Cricetulus griseus: one gene and its partner. The protein of the gene in region 1 purifies or fractionates together with the protein of each later gene. This does not show direct contact. Links are inferred from orthologs where the notes say so. Each region holds a gene or a part of one and is shown in the gene's direction. Other genes may lie near its edges. The genes, in order: Swsap1 and Spidr.

The links.
Region 2: the proteins of Swsap1 (region 1) and Spidr purify together in Homo sapiens (co-immunoprecipitation; 3 studies listed by BioGRID and IntAct, with this or other methods). This does not show direct contact. The link is inferred for Cricetulus griseus from reciprocal best matches to the Homo sapiens genes SWSAP1 and SPIDR.

Annotation. Positions count from the first base shown.
Region 1 is NC_048597.1:134,849,368-134,855,660, forward strand, and holds Swsap1 (ATPase SWSAP1), read left to right. Parts: upstream 1-3,467; 5' UTR 3,468-3,493; coding exon 3,494-3,736; intron 3,737-4,401; coding exon 4,402-5,004; 3' UTR 5,005-5,233; downstream 5,234-6,293. UniProt on the Homo sapiens protein: ATPase which is preferentially stimulated by single-stranded DNA and is involved in homologous recombination repair (HRR). Has a DNA-binding activity which is independent of its ATPase activity.
Region 2 is NC_048597.1:73,354,027-73,360,795, forward strand, and holds the start of Spidr (DNA repair-scaffolding protein), read left to right. Parts: upstream 1-2,812; 5' UTR 2,813-3,020; coding exon 3,021-3,095; intron 3,096-6,769. UniProt on the Homo sapiens protein: Plays a role in DNA double-strand break (DBS) repair via homologous recombination (HR).

The DNA of each region.
Region 1 (6,293 bases):
GGAAATCAAACTCTTTTGACTTCTTCAGGTACCAGGCATACATTCATGCACAGACATACATGCAGAAAAAACAGCCATATACATAAAATATATATAAACAAATCTCTTAAAAAAGAAGAAGAATTTAAGGGCCTGGAGAGCTATTCCCTCAGAAATGAAGAGCACTTGTCGCTCTTCCAGAGGACCCAGGTTTGATTTCCAGTACTCACATGGTGGCTCACAACCATCTGCAACCCCAATTATAGGGGATCTGATGCCCCTTTCTGGAATCCATGAACACTAAGCATCTGTGCTGTACAAACATACATGCAGACCCCCTCCCCCCCCACACACACACACCAAGTGGCAGCCAGGCCTAGTGCTGCAGCTATAATCCAGCTACTTGTGATACTGAGACAGAAGGCTCATGAGTTCAAGACTTGCTTGGGCTACACAATAAGTTTAAAACCAACCTAGGCAATATAAGAAGTTGAATGTCTCAATTAAAAAAAAAGCCAGGTGGTGGTGGCACACGCCTTTAATTTCAACACTCTGGAGGCAAAGGCAGAGGCAGAGGCAGAGGCAGGTGGATCTCTGTGAGTTCAAGACCAGCCCGGTTCCAGGACAGCCAGGGCCATTACACAAAGAAACTGTCTCAAAAAAATAAAAAATAAAAACTAGCTGGGCACTGGTGGCGCACACCTTTAATCCCAGCACTCGGGAGGCAGAGGCAGGCCGATCTCTATGAGTTCGAGGGAAACACAGGCTTGCATGACAGCTCTAGAGCCAAGTCTGGGTGAAGAGACTGTCTGAGCCTGGTCTCCAGAGCGAGTGCCAGGATAGGCTCCAAAGCTACACAGAGAAACCCTGTCTCGAAAAACCAAATAAATAAGTAAATAAATAAATAAAATATGAGGGGAGACTGGAGACATAGCTCAGTAGTGAACCCTGGTCTTGCAGAGAAGCTGGTTGCAGTTTTCAGAACTCACATGGTAGCTCAGTCCTAGGGGCTCTGGTGCCCTCTTCTGACTTCTGAGGGCACCACACTCACGTGGTGCACATAAGAAATGCGGGCAAACACTTATAGGAATAATAAATAAATAAATAAAAATGTTTTAAGTGAGGGGAAAAAAGGGGGGCAGGTCTGTCTGTATGTATGTATGTACCTCAGGGTTAAAATGCTTACTTAGCTTTAACATAGGTGGAGCCCTATGTTCAAGCCCCAGTGCTGAAGGAAAGAAAGGAAGAAAAAGACGAAACCAAACAAACAAGCAAAAACAGAGCTAGATAGAGCCCCTAGAAACAACTCTTCTGGGCATGAAGCAAGAAGTGCCTGTGCTCAGTGTGCTCCTGTGACCTGGGGCTTGTGCGCCTTATGCTTTGTAGTGTCGGGCTGTGTGTCTGCGATGGGGGTGGGAGACTAAAGCAGCATGCTTCACAGAGCAGTGTAACAGTGTGCCAAGGACATATGTGTACAGAATGCCAATCACATAGTCATCTCAGTGTGTGTGTGTGTGTGTGTGTGTGTGTGTGTGTGCACGCCCATGCGTGCAAGGTATAGGGGTGTCCAGCTGTGTGTGTGGGTGTAATGGGGGATGTTGTGGAGCTGTTTTCTGTCCCCAGAAGGAGAGAGGAGTAAACTCAGGAAATCACAGTTCCGCCCTGCTCCTGGGTCTCCAGGCAACCATACCACTTTGAAGTTACTAGGAGACAAGGTTTCTAGGGAAACACAGGCTTGAGTGACAGCTCTAGAGCCAAGTCTGGGTGAAGAGACTGAGCAATGGGATCTTGGTTCTCATTAATTCTTCCTTCCTTCATTCAATGATTTAACAAGAATTACAGTTCTCAGGGCTAGAGAGATGGCTCTGTGGTTAAGAACACTGACACCCTCACACAAACATACAGGCAAAACATGCAGGCAAAACAACAATGCACATAAAATAAAAATAAATAAAAGAATTGCAATTCTACGGTGTGGACAGCAGATTCTCATGAAGAAGCATCTAAGGCCCTCGTTCTCTTGCACAACTTGTCCTCTCCAGTATTTCTCAATAGAAGCAATGTTCTCTCTCCCATAAACACAAGCAAGCATTAAGACGGTCCTAGGCCAAGGAGAAAGGCAGATGGCAGGCACCTTTAAGAGCCCTCATAGAGGGAGCCTGGGAGAAGGCTCGGTATGGAAAGTGCTAGCAGTGTAGGCATGAGGGTTGTGTAAATACCAGACACATTATCAGTATCATGGTGGGGCTGTGATGAGCTTTTGGGGGTGGAGACAGGAGGATCCCCAGAAGCTCTGGGGCCAGCCAGACTGATCTACACAGCAGTGAACATGCACTGCCTCCAATGAGATGGAAGACAAGGACTGACCTCCACACACCTGGGGTGGCACAGTCCTGCCTGCACACACATAAAGATTTTTTAAAATTAAAACAGAAATCAGGGTCAGTGAGATGCCTGAGGGTTCTTGCCACCAATCCTGAAGATCTTTCATCCTGGGAACCCACACAGTAGGAGAGAAAGAACCGCATCCCATCTCTGAACACATGCACACCGTGTCATGGGAGTACATACACATACACCAACATCCCTCATTGAGGGCTAGGGATGAGGCAGTGTGGTGAGTGCTTGCTTAACACGTACAAACCCTGGGTTTGATCCCCAGCCCTGCATTAACTTGGCATGGTAGCATAAGACATCTTCAGAGTTCCAGGAAATGTAAAATGATTGGCACCCTATCAAAAGAAAAAATCTGAGTCCCAAATCTGTAGCCCATATAAACATATTCCCATATCCAAGCAAGGAGAGACAAGCGAACAGCTGTCCCTTTCCATCTGTGAACTGTCCTTCGGCGATATTAGCGGATATTCACACCAACACACTGCAATGACCCCAAGGGATCACAACACTCGTTTTGCTGGTGGGCAAGCTGAGGTTAGGAGTCTGGTTTTTATTATTTATTTTAAGACAGGAGCTCATGTAGCCCAGGCTGGCCGAAAACTTCAATATGTAGCTAAGGGTGACCTACAGTTTTTTGTTTGCTTGTTTGTTTGTTAAGATTTATTTTTACGCAGGGTGTGTGTGTGTGTGTGTGTGTGTGTGTGTGTGTGTGTGTGTGTGTGTGTGTGTACGCGCACGCGGGTATGTATGTGTGTCTCGTGCCCGCGGAGGCCAGAAGAAGGCGTCGGATCTCTAGGAACTGGCGTTAAGGACGCTTGCAAATCACCCTGTAGGAAGTGGGAACCGAACCCAGGTCTTTTGGAAGAGCAGCTGGTGCCCTTCACGGCTAGGCGTCTCTGGGGAGCGCGTTTGCACCCTCGACCTTTCTTTTAATCTGATCACGCGGCTTCCGGCAGCAGATTCCCTCACGCACCACTTTGCTCCATGTCCCGTGTTTTGACCATTTACGACAGCTCCAGAGACCGAAAGTGACGCTGCGAACTATAGCCAATGAAACATCGGTGTGGGCGGGCCCGGGAGGAGGACGCATCCCTGATTGGTCAGCGGTACTCGGCAAATGGCGGAGGCGCTGAGGCGGGTGCTGAATGAAGGCCGCGCGGCAGGGCCCGGGGAGGAGGGAGCTCCGGGTCCGCCATTGCTGCTGCTAGGCGCTCCGCGCTCCGCGCAGACTTCGCTGCTGTTTGCGGCCGCCCTCGAGGCGGCAGGGGAAGGCCGCGGGCCTGTCCTCTTCATGACACGAAGGCCGCTTCAGAGCCTGCCGCTCAATACACCCGCAGCGCGGAACCCCTGGCGGCTCCAGGTAACCGGAGGGCCGGATCTGGAACGTGTCGCCCAATGGCAAGAGAGGTGGTGCATGAGTGACAGGTCGGCAGGCCAATGGCGCGTCAGAAGGCCTACGGGGACGAAGTGGGTGGAGGAGGCGGGTAGCCGCACGGGGCGGGGCAGTGCGGGTTTAGTTAAGAGTGAATGAAAGGCCGTCCTATGATCGCTCGGCATTAGCGGGCGTGGGCGCCAAGGAGGTGGAGTCTAAAGTGGAGTTAGTTTCCCTTGGAAGCACGCGTTCTCTCTCCCAACAACAATAAAATAGAGCTCTCAGCTAGCATGCATGAAGCCCTGGGTTTCGTTCCTCTAACCCGGCATGGCAATGCACGCCTGTGATTCAGTTCTCAAGAGGTGGTTTCAGAAGGGTCAGGCCATCCGGCTACATCACGAGTTTTCAGTCATCCTGGCTTACATGAGACCCTGTGTCAAAGAAAAAAAAAGAATCTTAACTAAAATGATTTTGGGCAGTGATACAAGCTGGAAAAGGACAGGTGACAAAGAAGGACAAAGAATATCTGAGCTGGTGCTTCATCCTCGAAATTTATATATGGGGCTCGACTGGGAAAATATGGAAGAGTCATGGCAGCCATAGTAGGGAGCCTTGGCCTCCTATGTTAAATCTTGCCTTTTCCTGTCTTCTAGAAGGTTCGATTCCAGTACCCATCCTCAGTTCCAGAGCTTCTCCAGCTTCTGGCCTCTGCCCATGAGACCCCAGGGCCTGCCCCGTCCCTTCTACTGCTAGATGGCCTGGAAGAATATCTAGCTGAAGACTCAGGGGTCCAGGAAGCCGCCTACTTAGCTGCATTGCTTCTGGATACTGCTGCCTACTTTAGCCACCGTCTTGGAGCCAATGGCAGCTGTGGGCTTGTGGTGGCCCTAGAGACCCAAAAAGAAGAAGACAATGATGCCCCACATCTGACATTGCTTCAACGGTATTTTCCTGCACTGTGCTGGCTGCAGCCAGATGCCCTAGACTTGGGACAGCACCATTGCCTGCGGGCCAGCCTGGAGTTGGGCAAGCTGAGCCCCAGGACGGAGTGGTCAGTGACCTTCTTACCTAGTGGAGAGATGAAGATCATCCCATGGCCTACCCAGGCTTCTAAGCCCAGCCCAGATAAAAAGTGTTCAAGTGCTGAAAGCCAGTCATTAACTCTGGAATGTGGCAACCTCTCTGACCCTCAGTTTCCCTTGGATAGAATACTTCCTTCAGGGACAGGTTCGGAATCAAAGACCTGGAAAATGTAGCATTGCTGAGCTGGGCTTGCAAGATGGCTCAGTAGATAAGGGGCCTTTCCAATAAGCATGATTACCTGGCTTTGATTCCCAGCATCCATAAGGTAGAAAGCTAGAACTGACTCCTGCAAGTTGTCTTCCGGCCTCCACATTTGGGTAGAAGCACACACATGCCCTCCACACAAATAGTAATAATAATAAATAGAACCTTTAAAATAAATAAATAAATATAATCATCTGAGGTTTCCTAGTTCATTTCTTCTTACTTATTGTGTTCTTTTCCCACAGGATCACGTGTAGCTCAGGCTAGCCTCAGACCAAATACTTAGCTGAGGCTATTCTTGAACTCCTGACCCTCCAGGCTCATCCCTTGTGGGCAGGGCATATGGAGTGTGCTTCCACACTTGGCTTCTTCTGTGTACTCTATGGTGCCTGCATATGAGTTACCTCTGTGTCTTGGCTTACATTACTGTTAGGGAGTCTAATCACATACACATACATGACCTTGCACATGTGTTTAGGGTATACGGTTGGAAGTAGAATCACTCTGTACAGAGTATGCACAGATTTAGCTTTTTTAGGACATAACATTTTTCAAGCCATTAAACTGAGTTTGAGCGTGGTGTTTTGCAAAATGGTAAGCCCAGCTTTGGGATGTAGAGATAGGAAGTCACAATGCAAGGTTATCCTTGGCTACTTAAGGTGTTGGAAGCCACTCTGTCCTACACTAGACCCTGTCAGAAAAAAAAAAAAAAAGGGCTAGGCCTTTAATCCTAGCACAGGGCCAGCCTGATCTATACGGAATGTTCCAGGCCAACCAGGGCTACAAAGTGAGACCATGTCTCAAAGTCAATCAAAAAACTAGGGAGCTGGAGAGAGGGCTCAATGGTTAAGAATTCTCTCATAGGACCTAGTTTCAGTTCCCAGCATCCATGTCAGACACAACCACTTGTAATTACAGCTCCAGGGGATCTAATGCTCTCTTTTGGCCTTCTTGGGCACCGACATGAAGTGGTGAACATACATATATAGAAACAGAACACTCATAACATGAAATGAAAGTACATAAATCTTTTAAAAGAAAGAAAGGAAGGAAGGAAGAAAACCCAAAAATCCGTCTTGGAGGTAAGCCCAACACCAGGGTGTTGTAAAGGGAGGTGAATAATCCATCCTGCAATGGGAGCCCCGTAAGCTTGGGAAGTGAACAACTCAAAGGCTTCGGGAAGTCCCTGAAACTCTCAGACAAGCTGAGCTCTACAATCTGTGGAGCTGTCTGCAGCCTGTGTAGTGTGCTCCAGGTT
Region 2 (6,769 bases), about 61 Mb from region 1:
TCTGTGTAGCTTTGGAGCCTATGCTGGCACTCACTCTGGAGACCAGGCTGGCCTCGAACTCACAGAGATCTGCCTGCCTCTGCCTCCCGAATACTGGGATTAAAGGCATGCACCACCAACGCCCGGCCTATCATATCCTTTTAAACCCTTTTTTTTTAATCTTGTAAAAACTGTGTCTCCTAGGATATGCAACTATTTCAAAGTAAACTCTCTCTGATTCCAACTATTTCCTTCTACAGAAAATACAATTTCTCCTTTCCTACCAACAGATAAGGTAGGGAGTTTTGTGGTCCTCCTTAGTCAGGGACTGTGCCTCTCATCAGCGTGGGTTTGGTTATATAAGACTGACCCATCATAATTGTGCTCCCTCAAAAGATTTTTGAGATCATAACTTTCAGGAGAAAATTATGGCATGAGATTACAGACTAGAGAAAGCTGTATCAATATTAACATGTAGAAGAAATCAATAGGTAGAGGAAGGCAAGAAATCATCCCTCACCTGGTCTCACACAACAGAGTATGCTCAAGAAAGGCCAAATTATATCAATATTGGAGCAGAGGGTATTATGTGGATGTCCGATAAAGAGTCATGAGGCTCCTCCAGGCACATGCTTTTGGAGCACATTTTGTTTTTCTAACTCACTAGCTCACTCCCATTCTTGGGAGTGCTTCAAGTTTTAAAGTAGACTCTTTGTATTTGTATTTTTATATATTTGTATTCCTAACCACATATCTGTGGTCCACTTCTTTGCAATGAGACACAGAGTCGACGTATTTCAGCAGGTGTTTCTGTAGCTCCTGCAGGTTCCCTTCAGATTCAAATCTGTAGCTACAAAAGTTGAGCCGAAACACTCAGTGAAAAAGAGTTTTGTAAGAGGAAGTGACAGCTTAACATTGGATCAGGACTACAGATGGAGTGAGTACACACGCAACAGCAAGACTACACATTCCTAGAAAGACAAAAAAAAAGTACATTTGAAGAAGAAACTAAACTTAGTTTTAATCTTCATATAGCCCAGGATAGTCTTGAACTCACCATTGCTGACCTTGAATTCAATGCTAGAAATAAATCCTTGTAGTAAACTTTCAATATGAGGTGCACTTAGAGCTTGTTAAAGGGTTGCAGATAAGTAGGACATGCTGGACCCCCTTCTTCCCCATTGGGCAGGTGGTGTCCACTTGTCTCAGATCTCCAGGGCTGGAAGGCTGCAGGCTATGGGACTGGGCCCACATCAGAAATGAAGGTACTTTCAAGTCAGGGAGTAGTCATTAGATAAGGCATTGTATCCTGAACCAGAAGGATGGGGAACCTGGGAAAGGTGCCATGCTAGAAGGATGCGAAGACTGTAACTCTCTAAAGTATCAGTCAATGGGAAAAGGAGGGCAGGAATTTCTTGCAACTAGGGAGTTTTAAAAAAATTGTCTTGCCAGGTGTGGTAGTACACAGCAAAAATCTGAGCACTCGGGAGACAGCAGCAGAAGAATCTCTGTGAGTTCGAGGCCCGCCTGGTCTACATAGTTCTAAGACAGCCAGGCCTATGTAGAGAGACCTTGTCTCAAAAAACCAAAACAGACAGACAGAAAACAAAACAAAACAAAAAACCAAAAAAAAAAAAAAAACCAATAACAAAACAAAACAAAAAAACAAGTCTTGGGCCAAGTCAGCATGCCAGCATTCTGTCCTTTTTCTTTTTTCCTACACTGGAGTCCCTTTTTGCAGAATGGCATATTAAAAACTGCTTCACTTTTAGCAGTCTCTTTAATTGGTTAGTGAGGGTCTTGTTTCCCTGGCTCTGCCTATCTTTGGACTACAGACTTGAGTCACCACCTCCGGCTCTAAGCTCCACTCTGTATACATCTGTGAACACAACTTTGTGAGAATCCTTTCCTTTATCCATGCTAACACTTTTCAACAATGCAAATTGTTTAGTATTTTTGTTTAATGTGTGTCTTTAGAGTCTTCCTCGGTTAAGCCAGTTTCTCTCCAGTCCCATGCCAACACAGTCTCAACAATGAATGATTTAGTACTTTTTGACAATAGAAATCTTCACAGGCTCTGCTGTTAATCCAGTTTCCACTCAAGTACCAGCTGTCCTTCCTGTTGGTTTGAAATAGTCTCAAAGCACCCAGTGACAAGTATGTTCAAGTGCTTTAAAACATCCAAGGAGTGATCGCTTCTTCCAAATTAGAGCGATCCCTGAACCAGCTTCTAGAAGAAAGAATGTAAGTTCTCTGACGTCACCTCGGATCCATAGTATGTGAAATCATCTGTGTAACAAATCCAACTAGAGTTCCTGAAATCTTTTTAAAAATGATAATCTTTGCTCTTGATACTTGTGAATTCTTCCTCATTAGTTAGGGAAGTATTTTCTCGGGCTTACTAACATTTAATTACTAATTAACAATTATTATTGAATCTTAATGTACTTGGGGTTTTTATTTTATGGTTCATTGTTGCTGCAGAAAACACAATTTGAACTATGACATCTTGATCCTGCTAACTGCCTTAAGGCCTTGCCCAAGGGGCTTAAGGAACAGCCTAGGAGAGCAGCGCCCTCGGGCGTCGAAACTTGAAGATAGCTCACCCTAAGCCTGTGGCACCTCAGTCGGGACTTCCGGGAGGGGCGGAGCGTGAGAGTGACTGCTTCTGGATGGGGCGGAGCGCGGGAGGGGCGGGTTTCGGAGGGGGCGGAGTCCTCGAGGGGCGGCTTCCGGAGGGAATGGATTCCGGAAGGGGAGGGGAGTGCCAGGGGAGGGCGGCGAGCGTGGGAGATGTCTGGAGGTGGCGGCGCGGGCGGGTCCAAGGTACGCTGTGCTGTCGCTCTGGAAGCCGAGGCCCGGGCGCGCGGCTCCGTGGGCTTCTCGTGGCTGGCCCTGGCCCAGTGTGCTGGGAACGCGCGGGCTGTGCCGGTCGGTCTGGGGCAGGCTGTCCTTCCCCCTCGGGTCTGCGCCGAGCGGTCCCGGGAGCCCGGGAACTGAGCGCGTGGGTGGCAGACCGGGAGGACGGAACGCGCTCTGGAATGAGGGTGTTAGCTGGAGTCTGGCAATTCATTCGTCTCCGTTTTACTCTGTTGCTTAACACACCAAGACAGCAGGTATCTTTCACCACACTTTGCTTTCCCGCCCAAACTTCCTGAGAGGAGTTGCTTCTCGGATGTGTACACTACTGTAGGCGTGGCGTGCAGGAGCTGTACGTGGATGACATTTAAGAGAAAGGACCTTCTCTTCACTGCTCCGTCCTTGTGTTCCTCTTGGACCACAGTTTGCCTTTTCAAAGTTCCTCACAGTTGTTTCATAATACTCAAAATTTAAAACAGCAAACAGTGCTTCATTTCTTGGTCTGCCCTTCATTTTAACGGAGAAACTTGCTGCAAAAATATCCCACATAAATGCCTCGACTGCCTAATCACTGTTATTTCTCGAATAGACCCGATAGACCACATTGCGAACTTTGTAGCTCATTTAGGGACCAAAAGCATGTATAACGTATAACTTAAAAACTAATTCAGTATCAGAAAGATTAAAATGTAAAAAAAGGAATTGCAACGTTGTTAAATCTACCATAAATTACTTTATTATTGAAGCAATTGATACCGTTGTCATCAGTGTTTATTTACTTAAGCATCCCTGAAGTCCTGATTCCATGTCATAGGTGTTCATTTACTTTTCCTTACTGCCCTGCTCCAAATTTTGACATTGCGCTTTTTCTCAACTTTAAGAGTTTTCCTGGACAGTCTTTTATTTTTAAATTTTATGTTCATTAGTGTTTTGCCATAGGTTCCAGGTCCTCTGGAACTGGAGTTAACAGTTGCGAACTGCCATGTGGGTGCTGGCATTGAATCTGGGTCCTCTGGAAGAGCAGTCAGTGCTCTTAACTGCTGAGCCATCTCTCCAGCCCATCCATGTTTTGGGCAGACTTACGCATTGGTTTGAACTGCCACTATTGTATAGACAAGTCACAGCATGTTATGAAATCATCATTCTCTTAGCTTGCCAGCACCTAACCAGTTTTCCTAATTTAATAATCTAGTATTTTTGACTTTTTACTTCTGCCCTCTTCATTCTGTTATGTTTCAATACTTTTTTCAGTAGTCGTGTTAGTTGTTGCTGTTTCAAAATTTTCTCAAAACTGAAGCACTTTTCAACCAGAATTGCTACCAAAGGCCAGGAATCTGAGTGTAGCTTAGCCCTATGGTTCTAGCTCAAGAATTCCCACAGGGTCTTCTCCCAAGTTTGCTGAGGTAGTGGTTGGTAAGTTTCAGTTTTCTTTCCCCCCTCTTCCCCCTCCCATGGGGTGGCTTAAAACAGAGAAGTAGACTTTCTCAGTAGCAAGTGAGACAGGCTCTCATGTAACACAGGCTGGCCCTGAATTCATGATTAAGTGAAGGTGGCCTTGAACCTCTTCATCCTGCCTGTACCATGAAGTGCCACCACACCTGTCTTTCATCTGAGATTTAATTTTTTGTTGTGGGGGATAGGAGGGAGCAGGGCTCAATGTATAGCTCTGGCTGGTTTGGAACTTAGGTAGGTGAGGCTGCCCTCAAACCTGCAGTGATCATCCTCCTTCCTCATTGCTGGGATTACAAATGTGAGCCGGCACATAATAAAGCTTTATTTAATTCTCTCACCACTCCTTTGAAGAAAATACTATTTGTCTCTTTTATGGATTAAGGAGGTTAAGTGATTTGCCCTGTGTACATAGCACTCAGGTTGTCTCTCATGATCTTGCTTGCTTTGTGTTCATGCTTCATGCTCTTTTACACCTTCCATAATATGGCCAGGTTTAATTCTTTTCTTTTTTCCTCCCCTTCTGTTTTTTGAGATAGTGTTTCTCTGTGTAGTCCTGACTGTCCTGGAACTCACTCTGCAAATAAGGCTGGCCTCGAACTCACAGAGATCTGCCTGCTTCTGCCTCCTGAGTGCCAGGGTTAAAGGTGTGCACCACTCTTCCCGGCTGGTCTATACTTTTGATTCATTAGTATAAACATTATAAGATTAGGAATGATGCCTCCAATTCATGCTCCCTAGAGCAACTGCCATAACTGGTAAATATGTGATAAGCTTGTGAGTATACTAGGTGTGAAGAAACATGGAGAACTACCCTGATCACAGATTTAATATCAGTTTCAGCTCTTTAACTTCTGCTCATAGAGTATTGGACAAGACACTGTTGACCTAAATAACAGCTTGAGAGATATTTCCAAAGACTGATGATACTCACTGGAGATGTATATGCTATAGTAAAATATAAGCACATTCAAAGAGAATGAAGCAAGGGGAGATATTTAAAGACTGTAAGAGAAAAATAAGGAAAATTGTGTTTTTCTGATGACCCCCTTTGTCTTAGGGTTATTGTTACTGTGATGAAATGCCATGACTAAAGCAACTTGGGGATGAAAGGGTTTATTAAGCTTGTATTTCCACATTACAGTTTATCATCAAAAAATCAATATAGGAACTCAAGCAGGGCAGGAACCTGGAGGCAGAAGCTGATGCAGAGGCCATGGAGAGATGCTGCTTACTGGCTTGCTTCCTCATGGCTTGCTCAGCCTACTTTCTTTCTTTCTTTTTTTTTTTTTTTTTTTTTTTTGGTTTTTCGAGACAGGGTTTCTCTGTGTAGCTTTGGAGCCTATCCTGGCACTCGATCTGGAGACCAGGCTGGCCTCGAACTCACAGAGATCCACCTGCCTCTGCCTCCCGAGTGCTGGGATTAAAGGCGTGCGCCACCAACACCCGGCTCAGTCTACTTTCTTACAGAACCCAAGCCCATCAGCCCAGGAACAGCATCACCCACAATGGGCTGGGCTCTCCTCCATCTATACCAATTAAGAAATTGCCCTACAGGTTTGCCTGCAACTTGATCTTATGGAGGTTCCCTCCTCTAAGATATCTCTAGCTTGTATCAACTTTACATAAAACTAGCCGGGACATCTTTCCCAACACAACTTCAGGTTCTCATCTCCAGACCTTTTATAAGTGTTTCTTGCTTGATGGCTGTCACTTGGTAGAAATTATTTAAACAGAGTGTATACTTACATTAGAATTGAAGTATGGCTTTTGATTTTCAGGAAAGCAGGAGAGAGGAACTACCAGTAAGAATGTTTCACTGTTCTAGAAGGATTTAGTTCTATACAGAATAATGTTAGTTTTAGGCAATAAGAACAGCAGGGAGAAAGAAAGCTGAGTTTCATGGAACTTTCTAATGGCTGATAGTTTTTCCCTTAGGGAAGGAGTGATGGTTCATGTTAGGCTTACGTGGAGATACATAAAGAAGTTTGAGTATGGAACTCTGTTGTGTGTTTGAGTCTAGAGGGCTAGGAAATGAGTAAGAATGTTTACCAAAACTGACTGTGATAGTTTGAATGTAATGGTCCCCATAAACTCTAGGGAGTGGCACTATTAGGAGATGTGGCTTGTTGGAGTAGGTGTGGCCTTGTTGGAGGAAGTGCCACTAGAGGTGGACTTTGAGGTCTCATATATGCTCAAGCTACACCCAGTGTCTCAAACTACTTCCTGTTGCCTTCCGGTCAAGATGTAGGACTCTGAGCTCCTTCTACCATGTCTGCCTGCATGTTACCCTGTCATGCCATGATGATAATGGACTAAACTTCTGAAACTGTAAGCCACCCCAATTAAATGTTTTCCTTTATAAGAGTTGCTGTGGTCATGGTGTCTCTTTATAGCAATAGAAACCCTAACTAAGACACTGATCAAAGACATACCATTAAAAAACATGGAAAGAGCTAAACTTATCTTTGGTTCATTTTAC